Macaca fascicularis: one gene and its partners. The protein of the gene in region 1 interacts with the protein of each later gene in a biochemical or structural test. Links are inferred from orthologs where the notes say so. Each region holds a gene or a part of one and is shown on either strand. Other genes may lie near its edges. The genes, in order: PELI1, UBE2V1 and IRAK4.

What was found.
Region 2: the proteins of PELI1 (region 1) and UBE2V1 form a complex in vitro, tested with the Homo sapiens proteins (3 studies listed by BioGRID). The link is inferred for Macaca fascicularis from reciprocal best matches to the Homo sapiens genes PELI1 and UBE2V1.
Region 3: of the proteins of PELI1 (region 1) and IRAK4, one has a biochemical effect on the other in vitro, tested with the Homo sapiens proteins (4 studies listed by BioGRID and IntAct). The link is inferred for Macaca fascicularis from reciprocal best matches to the Homo sapiens genes PELI1 and IRAK4.

The regions. Positions count from the first base shown.
Region 1 is NC_088387.1:57,778,199-57,781,957, reverse strand, and holds the start of PELI1 (E3 ubiquitin-protein ligase pellino homolog 1), read right to left. Parts: upstream 2,578-3,759; 5' UTR 2,484-2,577; intron 1-2,483. UniProt on the Homo sapiens protein: E3 ubiquitin ligase catalyzing the covalent attachment of ubiquitin moieties onto substrate proteins. Involved in the TLR and IL-1 signaling pathways via interaction with the complex containing IRAK kinases and TRAF6.
Region 2 is NC_088384.1:106,170,985-106,173,427, forward strand, and holds the end of UBE2V1 (ubiquitin-conjugating enzyme E2 variant 1), read right to left. Parts: intron 2,329-2,443; coding exon 2,182-2,328; 3' UTR 539-2,181; downstream 1-538. UniProt on the Homo sapiens protein: Has no ubiquitin ligase activity on its own. The UBE2V1-UBE2N heterodimer catalyzes the synthesis of non-canonical poly-ubiquitin chains that are linked through Lys-63.
Region 3 is NC_088385.1:50,385,124-50,388,782, reverse strand, and holds part of IRAK4 (interleukin-1 receptor-associated kinase 4), read right to left. Parts: intron 3,583-3,659; coding exon 3,403-3,582; intron 2,849-3,402; coding exon 2,688-2,848; intron 1,802-2,687; coding exon 1,737-1,801; intron 1-1,736.

The DNA of each region.
Region 1 (3,759 bases):
GACCAATATTTCTTGTCTTGAGGTTCCCACACATTAGTCTAGGGGAATATTCTATGGCACAGGTCACACTTAAACTAAGAAAATATAATAAGCACTCCCCTCCCCCACTACCACAAGTGTAAAAAAAACTCCAAGAACCCAAATCCCTTGAAAGAATGACTTCTATTTACTTTGCTTGTGTAATATATTCAGAGGGAATCTGGAAAAGATGGCTAGAAATCTATAAACAGAAAGTGCTAAGTGGAATTCACTGTTTATAGACTTCAACTAGAATTTTGTCCCTTATATATGAATGCTGCCAGGAAACTTTATATTGTATTATTTAAAAACATCTTCATCAGGTTTTCTTCACTTTGTTGATTTTCTTCCTTTTTCCACTGGCTTTTAAATCTGCTTTACTCTCCTCAAAGACATAAATGTAACTTTTAGAATAACAGGACTTTTTTCCCCCAAAAGGAGCACCTAAAGCCACCTCAGTGCCATCATATATTAGTCATTATGAAATTTTAATATATACAGTTAAATATATTTGTATAATAAAATCATCCATAAAAGCCTTTCTAATCTAATAAATACTAGGATAGGTCTACATTGGTGTATTATGGTAAAATGTACACGTATATGTTAGTTTTCAATTCTAAGTCTTTGGCTTAAAATCTTTATCAGCTGTAGAAGCTTCTGCCTAAAAATATTAGTTGTCCACGAAGCATAATGACTATCTATAGTCGTTATCACCTGACCTACTAGAAAACCATAACGAATCATATTCTGAAATGATAGAACTCTTAAAATACAAAAGTGACATTCTGACAACCCAGAAGAGTCTGAAGCTAAATCAAACGGAAACATCCTTTGGCTTCCTCTTTGAAACTTGCCTCAATGGCATTTGGCAGTACTAGACTAGCTTCCTACCCCGTACTTTTCAGTCATTTCCTTTAAGGGGTCTCAAAGAAATTATAAAACCTGCAAAGCCAGACTTCGCCAGTCAACACTAACTTCTGCCTGCGGACTCCAGTGACTGAGCCAAGACAGTGTTAGTAGCTTCCTTAAAGTACAAATGTCCCCGGTAAATCTGGCTTGAAAATACCACAGAAAAAGTTCAACATAACCAACTGCAAGAACATTTAAATGTCAATCTTAAGGAAAGGATGGATTCTCTCCCCCTACAAACTCCACTGAGGCAAATTTCCAGCTTGCTTTTTAGAAGTAAATAAATACCACTACTACTACATTACAGCACTTCTACCATGCCAATAAAAAGCTAGGTGATAGTTTCCTCTTTAAAACCTGTAAATTCACTAGATGAGACATTATAACCACTTCACTACATGCAACTTTCCATACATATAATTGTTCTACTTTCCAATTATTTATGTTAAACTCAAGATCTCTTTTAACATACTATAGAAAGGGAACAGGTTAGAAGGCTCTGGAAAAATAAAATAAAATAACGAACATCTCACTTTCATTTTCTGATGCAACCACCAAAATCTAAAATGTAAGGACAACCACACAATACAAAATTAAATGTAAGAGAATTTAGAGTAAGTGAAACTATTCACTGTTACTACAGTTCTGATCATTATTTACCTGAGGAAAGAGCTAGTAGAAGTGATGCTTGATTTAAATTTTTGGTACTTTCCAGTTTGGTACCAAAGAAATAAAAACTCACAAAATAAATAAGGTCCTCAGAGTTAAAGATTTTTATCCAGAACAGGTTGTTGATATAAATAAAGGAATTCATATGCTGTATTTGTACAGTAAGAACAATGTTTTGAGACATGTAAATCTGATCACTCAGAAAATATTTTCTGTTGGCTATAAAGAAGATGCATCGTAAACTGAAACAGAACTGAACAAAGTGAACCTTTTCCACAACTAAAAAATTTTAAATTCACCCTATTAAGCAAACTGAATAAAAAATTCATTTCTCCTTAAGTGTGAGAGTAATACATATTCAACACAGTAAAGGACAATGCGATTTCTGAAACAAAAGATTATGTGCAAAGAAAACAAAGTAACATTTTGCAGAGTAAGAAAAAGTAGAGCCTGTGAACCGAAACAGATGACCTTTTCTTATCTATAAAGTATAAAGCTTCAGTTTTTAGCACAACCAGCATCTTACGAATAAAGTTCTCAATAATATTTGTTGATATACTGTTTGATGACTAAACGACAGGAATATTGTTGGTGCTGTTAAAACCAAGGCACATTTCCTTCTGTGTAGTGATTAAAATCTGTTAAATGGACATTTTTAAAAAACCTATGCCCTCTGTCCCATTCTTGCTCTCTTGCCTCTAAGAGACCTACACGTACAAAAATAAAAGTAGATGGTGACGTGACTTTATGATTTACATTAATTTCCCTACTCGAAGCATTTCTCAGTAACTCTTTAAAGGTTTTAAGATTCAAACACTATGTAAGAAGAATTATGGTTTGAACTACGTAACAATTACCTAGACATCTTTCGGACTTCAGCTAACCTGTAAGTAAAATGAGCATCTTTAACTTTTCCACGGGGCATTTGAGAACGGGTTCTTCCTCATAAACTCTTTCATATCCTCAGATACCAGGCGCGGTAAAAGATCAAGCGTATCCATCAGAGAGCTTTTCACGACCTCAGTTTACCCACTTAGGGAAACGGGCGTATTGTTTCCTAGGGGACCCAGGGGTGAAATTAATTAGCGTGTTTAAAATGCTCTGAGATCCGAAGATGAAAGGAAATGTGAAAGACGCGCGGAGATGATGACAACAATCATAACAATAAAAAGAATGACTAACTTGGAAGTCTGCGTTATGTAAGGGAGGAAAAGAAGTTATCAGATCCGCACAAACAAAAGGGAAACCCACCGCCCCTTTTGTTTCTCCCATTTCCCTCTCCTACCCGCCACCCGCAGAGCACCCCCCTCGCAGCCTGAGCGCGCGGCCAGCCAGGCGCGGGGCTCGGAGTTGGCCGCCGCGCGCCCGGCTCCCGGGCGGAGGGGGAGGCCGCACAGGGCCGGTTCCTGACAAAGGCGCTTCCTCCTGCCAGGGCGCGGGATGGAGGCGCCGCAAACTCCGCTCCCCGCCGCCGCGGGGGCGCGCAGCGGGCGGGGAGAGCTGGCTGGCTGGCCGCCGGAGAAGCCGCCGAGGAAGTTGCGCGCCCGCCCTCCCCGCGCCCCTCGGCGGCCTCGCCGCCATCCATCCAGCGGCGCCCCGCGGCCACACTTACCGGACAATTGCTGGTGGCCGGGATCCCAGCGCGGCCCCTGAGACCCGAGGCGAGAGGGTGAAGTGTTGTGCGCGGGGAGCACGAGCAGACAGCCCGCCGTTCCGCCGCTGCCCTCCGCGCCAGCCAGCCGAGCCCAGCGCGGGGAAGTTGACCACGAAGTCGAGCGCTGAGGAGCCGCGGAAGCAGGGAGAGGCGTTGGGGCTGCTTCGTGGTGCACTCCCGGAGGGCTGGGGACCAATTCGACCGCGCCGCGGGGCTGGCGCTGCTGCTGCTACTGCTGCTGCTGGTGGAGGCGGCGGCGGCGCCCCCCGACGGTCCCTCCACCTCACACCGCCTCTGGTTCACTGACATACACTCCCAGGGAGGGGAGGGGTCTAACCGGAGGGCGGGGCCTGAGGGAGGGGACGAGGCAGGGCCACAGCGGAAGGCGGTGTCGTCGCGCCGAGAACGCTCTTGGGAATTGTAGTTCTCTGGCTGAAGAAAAAAGGGATTCATTGTTGTCCAGCACTCGACCAGGCTCGCTCTGCACTGAGCATGCTCGAGGGCGA
Region 2 (2,443 bases), on another chromosome or scaffold:
GCCTGGGCAACAAGAGCAAAACTCTGTCTCAAAAAAAAAAAAAAAAAAAAAAAAAAAAAAAAAAAAGGAGGCCTACCATCTTTAGGACAGGGGTTGGCAAACTATGATCCATGGGCCAAATCTAGCCCACTGCCTGATTCTGTATGGCTTCTAGCATGAAGAATGATTTTTACAGATGAACATTTGCAAAAGGCTTGATGACAGGGAACATGAATGAATCCCAATTAAAGTACATGTTATCTCCTAGAAGAACTCCAATCCTCATGTTAGTGGGCCAATAACATTATAAATAAACAGAACTCTACTTTGAATTTCACCAATTACAAATTTGGGAAATCTGTTTTCTCTCAGAATATAAGTACTCACACAATGTCCTCAGATTTTGCCTCTTGGCCTGCAAAGCCTATATATTTACTAATTTAGGCCCTTTTAGAAAAAGTTTGCCGACCCCTGCTTTAGGATGTCAATTAGAACCCCAAAGCATCTAAAACATTAAATTCTGTCCCTAATATGCCAAGAGGAAGAAGAGTACAGCCTGTTAAATATTAACGCACACTTTTTTTTTTATTAAAATCAGGCAATGGTCTGACAATAAAAAGGCTGTTTATGGAATACTGTTATGTTAAACTTCACTTACAGGATGTTAAATCCTTAGAACTAAGGTTTTCCCTCCGGAAAAAGATTAATGGAAACATCAATTGCTTTTCAGACTTGATAGTTGCTGCTTCAAAAGGTGGTTTTACACAAATACTAAATTAAAAAAAAAAAAAACCTTTAGTACACAATGAATTGCTTTTATTTCGGTATGCATCCACATTTCAGCATTTAGTGGTCCTGAACAGCAAGTGGAAAGATGCAGCAATTTGCTAGGAGGTCAAGCCCACCAATTTCGGGGATCTGCTTTGCACACCGGGTTCTTTCTTAATCCCTGCTGAGGATCTTGGGAAGCAGCAGCAGCACCAAAACCAAGGCATGCACCGGATTCAAGGTTCTTTTTGTTCCAGTTGTCAGATTCCAAACTAGACCCCAATGGATTGCAAGGATGACCAAATGAAAGCCCTGTTTAAAACTTCTTCAATTTTTAAAAGCAAAACAATTATAGGAAAGTAAAACAATTCAGAGGGATCATGTGTGCTTACAAGTGTCTTCATGTGGTCTTTCTCCAAGTTCAACCACCAAGGACTCCAAGAGCTGGCAGGTCTGAGTAACCCTGGTGACGATTCTTTTCACCTTATCAAAACCTGAGCTAAAAACAATGCATCAGCTGATGACAGCAGAGGGTGGCAGGGCTGAGGCCCCATTATTCATTTCCCAGGCTGGTGGACAGTGAGTGAGTATGGTTCCAAAACTAAACAAGGGAGGTCAGAGACTCTTTCCAACCTTACCTGATGGCTTCTGGCCAAAGCAAGGAAGTGTCATGGAAGGTGTTGAGTGGTGACGGTGCAAAAAGGAAGTTGAGGAGGAGGGAGAAAAAGCAGCACCCCTCGATAAAGGTGGGGGAGAGAAGATATGGGGAAAGCCCTGAATTCCTCACCGAAGGCCAATCTCAGAGGGGAGCGGAGGGGTTACAATCTATGCTTCGGCCAAGGGTGGGAGTGGAGGAGTGTGGGAATAGGATGATGGCTTGGAAGGGGCATCATTTAAGACTTAAAGAAACCAGGGGTGCAGGCGAAGCACCCCACACACCTAGCAGTAGTCCCACAGGCTGCGACCTGAAACCTTCACATCTACTCTAACAAGCCCCCCAGGCTAGAGGGCTGTTGTTGCAGGGAGGGTGGGAGGCGGGAGGGTAAGGGGAGAAGTCAGAGACCCCAGGCCGTGTAATCAGCAGCAAGGTGATTGTGTGATGTGTCTTTTCACAGTTAAGTTAGATGTGCCCCACCAGTTATGATGGGAATCAATTTAAATAGACTTTCTTGATCCCAGAAGTTCAACTACGTGGACAGTGGTTACACTTGACAGGATGATTTGTTATAGCACAACTTATATATTTCAAATGGACAAAAAATTAGTATCATTTACAGTATCTTAAGATAAATTTCCTTTGAATGGGAGCTTCCTTTCCAGTACTTTGAGGTCTACAAGATGTATCTAGAAAATTTACTACTGTGGAAAATGAAGACTGCTTAAATCGAATGGGGGGGAAGGGGAAGGGGAAGGGCCTGTGGTTTTTCTTTTTGATTAATTGCTGTAACACTGTCCTTCGGGCGGCTGAGGGAGTTTCATATTTTCTTTAGACATCATTAGGCGCCGAAGCTCTTGCAGGACAACTTTGATGCTATATGAATTCTGCCATTTTGCTAGCACTGATATGGCTCTTGGGTCCACCTACAACAAGGCAAACAAAAGCAAATTACTCTCAGACTCTCAAACAAAACAGCTATATGCTGGGGCTAAGCTAAGACGCAAACTAGAGTAAGATGTACTTTTCAAGTGGAACCTG
Region 3 (3,659 bases), on another chromosome or scaffold:
AAAATATTAGCAGTGGTTATCTCTGAGTGATGTATTTGAGAGATGGTTTGTATTATTAAGTTCCGGGACACATGTACAGAATGTGCAGGTTTGTTACATATGTAAACATGTGCCACGGTGGTTTGCTGCACCTATCAACCCATCACCTAGGTATTAAGCCCTGCATGCATATGGTTTTGTATATTTTAAAAATATTTTCCTGTATTTTCCAGATTATCTACTGTGAACAAGTTACTTTTAGAACTGCAGAGTAGGGGTAGAAGTGGAGAAAACAAAGACTAAAAACAAAAAGTTTGATTTTTTTTTCAGTGTGTATCATTTTTACCATGCATAAGTCAATTCTAGTGTATTCTTCCTACTTGAGGTTAAGTAACTATGATTGGTAATTTACAGCAGTGGGTTTAATGGGTATAATTTGGTAAATCCCATTAGGATTCAGATCAAAAGTTCAGGCTCTGCAATCAAACAGATCTGGATTTCAATCCCATCTCTAACACTTACTGGCTACGTGATCTTGGACAAGCTATTTAACGTTTCTAAATCTCAGTTAACAAACAAAATGGGCAGTTGTAATAGTTGTAAAGGTTAGATAGACAATGCACATAAGGTACATAGCACAATGTCTGGAATGTTGTACACACTCAAATATCAACCACTATTAATTACTATAATAATTAGAATACATTTCCTCCATTGTCCCTTCTACTTTTCCTGATGATGTCCAACAATTTTCCAGCACACAGGGTCAATGCTGAGAAGGCAGATAACATGACTCTAGTTGCTTTATAGGTGCTACTTTATATATAAAGTATATATATATCTTCAGATATATATGTGGATACTATGTGGAGCAGGGCTTCTCAACTTTAGTTTGTGAATCTCCCAAAATTGTATGTATGATTGTGTGTATATGTATATAACTACATTTTTCTAGGGGTAGGGTCCATAGCATTCAACAGATTTTTAAATTTTAAGAACTACTATGTAGAATGATGTTTATTTAAAGTATATCTGCCTTCAGCTAACAGCACATAGAGTAAATGCTTATCTTTGCAGATAACATGACTCTAGTTGCTGTATAGATGCTACTTTATATATTCTGTAGATAGTTTTTTTAAGTATCTCTACAATTGATCTCTCATGAATTCTGGAAGTAGAAAACATGATAATGAAGGACATGATAGTAAAATTCCACGTAACCTTGTTGTGACTTAAAATAATGACTGCGGTCAAGCGCAGTGGCTCCTGCCTGTAATCCCAGCACTTGGGGAGGCTGAGGCAGGCAGATCATGAGGTCGAGATCAAGACCATCCTGGCTAACACGGTGAAACCCCACCTCTACTAAAAATACAAGAAAAATTAGCCAGGCATGATGGCACACACCTGAAGTCCCAGCTACTCGGGAGGCTGAGGCAGGAGAATCGCTTGAACCTGGGAGGCAGAGGTTGCAGTGAGCCGAGATGGTGCCACTGCACTCCAGCTTGGGTGACACAGTGAGACTCCATCTCAAAATAAATAAATAAATAAAAATGACTGCTATTTAATCTCCAGGCATATGAGTATATGTAATCATAGAATTATGGAGCCAAAAGTACTTTCAATTTCTCTAAACACTTAATTTTAATTTCATATATGTGCAAACATCACTAGTTCATGGCATACTCTAGAGTGAACCAGGTTCCTTACTCCTTGTCTTTTTCCTTTCCACTACACCGCACTGCCAAATTAAGACTTACTTTGCCATTACTTTTATTTCTTGATCAAACTGCTGTTTCAGTTCTTCAGTAGTAATGTCAACCATCTGAAAAAATAAAATATACAGTGTAATACTGCACAATTCTAAGGTTCCTAATGCTCAGAGGGATCAAGAGATCAGCTGGCTCATCTCCCTTTCTTTAAAACAATAAGGTATTATTCTCCCAATTCTACAGAACAACTGAGATCTAGAAATACTAGCGATTTGCTCAAGGTCCATGGCTGGTTAGTGGAATGAAAAATATATATAAATTTCACTGAGTTGTGGAAACAAAATGAAATAGCATGAAATTTCACTACACAAAAAATTTGAAAAAATATTCTAGGAAACAGAAAACATACGCAATTTTAGTGCAAAATGGAAAACAAAACCTACAAAAGCCCTGCAATGTATATGACAAAGAGTGACTATCTTTATCACATACATATGCATTCTATTGATATTTTTAGGCTCTAACAAAAGGTTTAGAATATAACTAGTCAATAAGTAAAAGGTGAACACTCCAGTAGAAATGGCAACAAAGGACACGGATAAAAAAAATTTTAATGTTTTTTCTTAATGTATACTTCATAAACTTTATTTTTAAATGGGAAAAGTAATGCAAACATGGTTTTTTTTTTAAAAATAGTTTTCCTGGTTTCTTACCATTTTAATCTTGATTACATATGAGGCACTATGTGGAGCAGGGCTTCTCAACTTTAGTTTGTGGATCTTCCAAAATTGTATGTATGATTGTGTGTATATGTACATAACTACATTTTTCTAGGGGTAGGGTCCATAGCATTCAACAGATTTTTAAATTTTAAGAACTACTATGTAGAATGATGTTTATTTAAAGAAAATACATACTGAAATAATGTATTTCCTAAAGATTAACTTTATTATAGAGCACACTATGAAGCAACTCTTTATTCCTGAAAATATAACTTACTGCTGCAAGCTTCTTTACTGCCACAGTTGCATTATTTACGTAGCCTTTATATACAACTCCAAATCCTCCCTCTCCCATTTTATTACCACCAACAGAAATGGGTCGTTCATCAAAGTTATTTGTGACATTCTTCAATTCATAAAATGAAAAACTGTGAAAACCTATAATGTCAAAATAAGAAAAACATGCTTAAATTTTAAAAATACGTTTTAATAATTCTAATATTTTCTCATTTGAAGATTTCACATGTATGTAAATATTTATGATTTTGAATTAGACAAGACGGGAGAATATAAAACCATTTCTAAAATACAAATTATAAGTTTTTCTTGAGAATTCTGTTTGGTGATCCTACCCTCTGAACACTGTAGTCACCCACCCAAAATTCTAGTCACACATTTGAGTGGGTCTAGTCTACCTACCCAAAACTCTAGTCACATATTTTATTTTAAAAAGTGACCCTTCCAAGTTATGTAAATATTTACTTATTTTTTTTTTATAGCTTCTCTGGTTGTTTGCATGTCCTATTGCCTCTAATCACTGATTAACACAAAGAAGATGGTTCTTAATATATCAGGAGGAAAAAACTCACAAAAGAGCTATTGCCAGTGTGCCTGTGATTGCTGCACAAACAAAAGAACAAAAGCTTTCTTTTAAAGCACTGCTAGTCTTAATGACAAATCCACTAGTAGAAAGCACTGAAAATGTTACTTACGTGTATCACTAACTTCTAAACTTTTATTTTCTGGACTTGAGGAGTCAAGTGGCATATAGCTTTGTTCAAGATTCTGCAGAGGTGTCATCAATGTCCTGTCTTTGTCATAGAAAGGCATCTGTTTTTGTTGAACTGTTACAGCTTCTTTAGAAGGTAGTGTATTAGTTTTGGGAACAGCATCTAACAAATGAAGTAAGACACAAGTGGTTTTTCAGTAATAAGAAGTGGTTGTGAAAAAGTTAAACTGAAACTTGGTT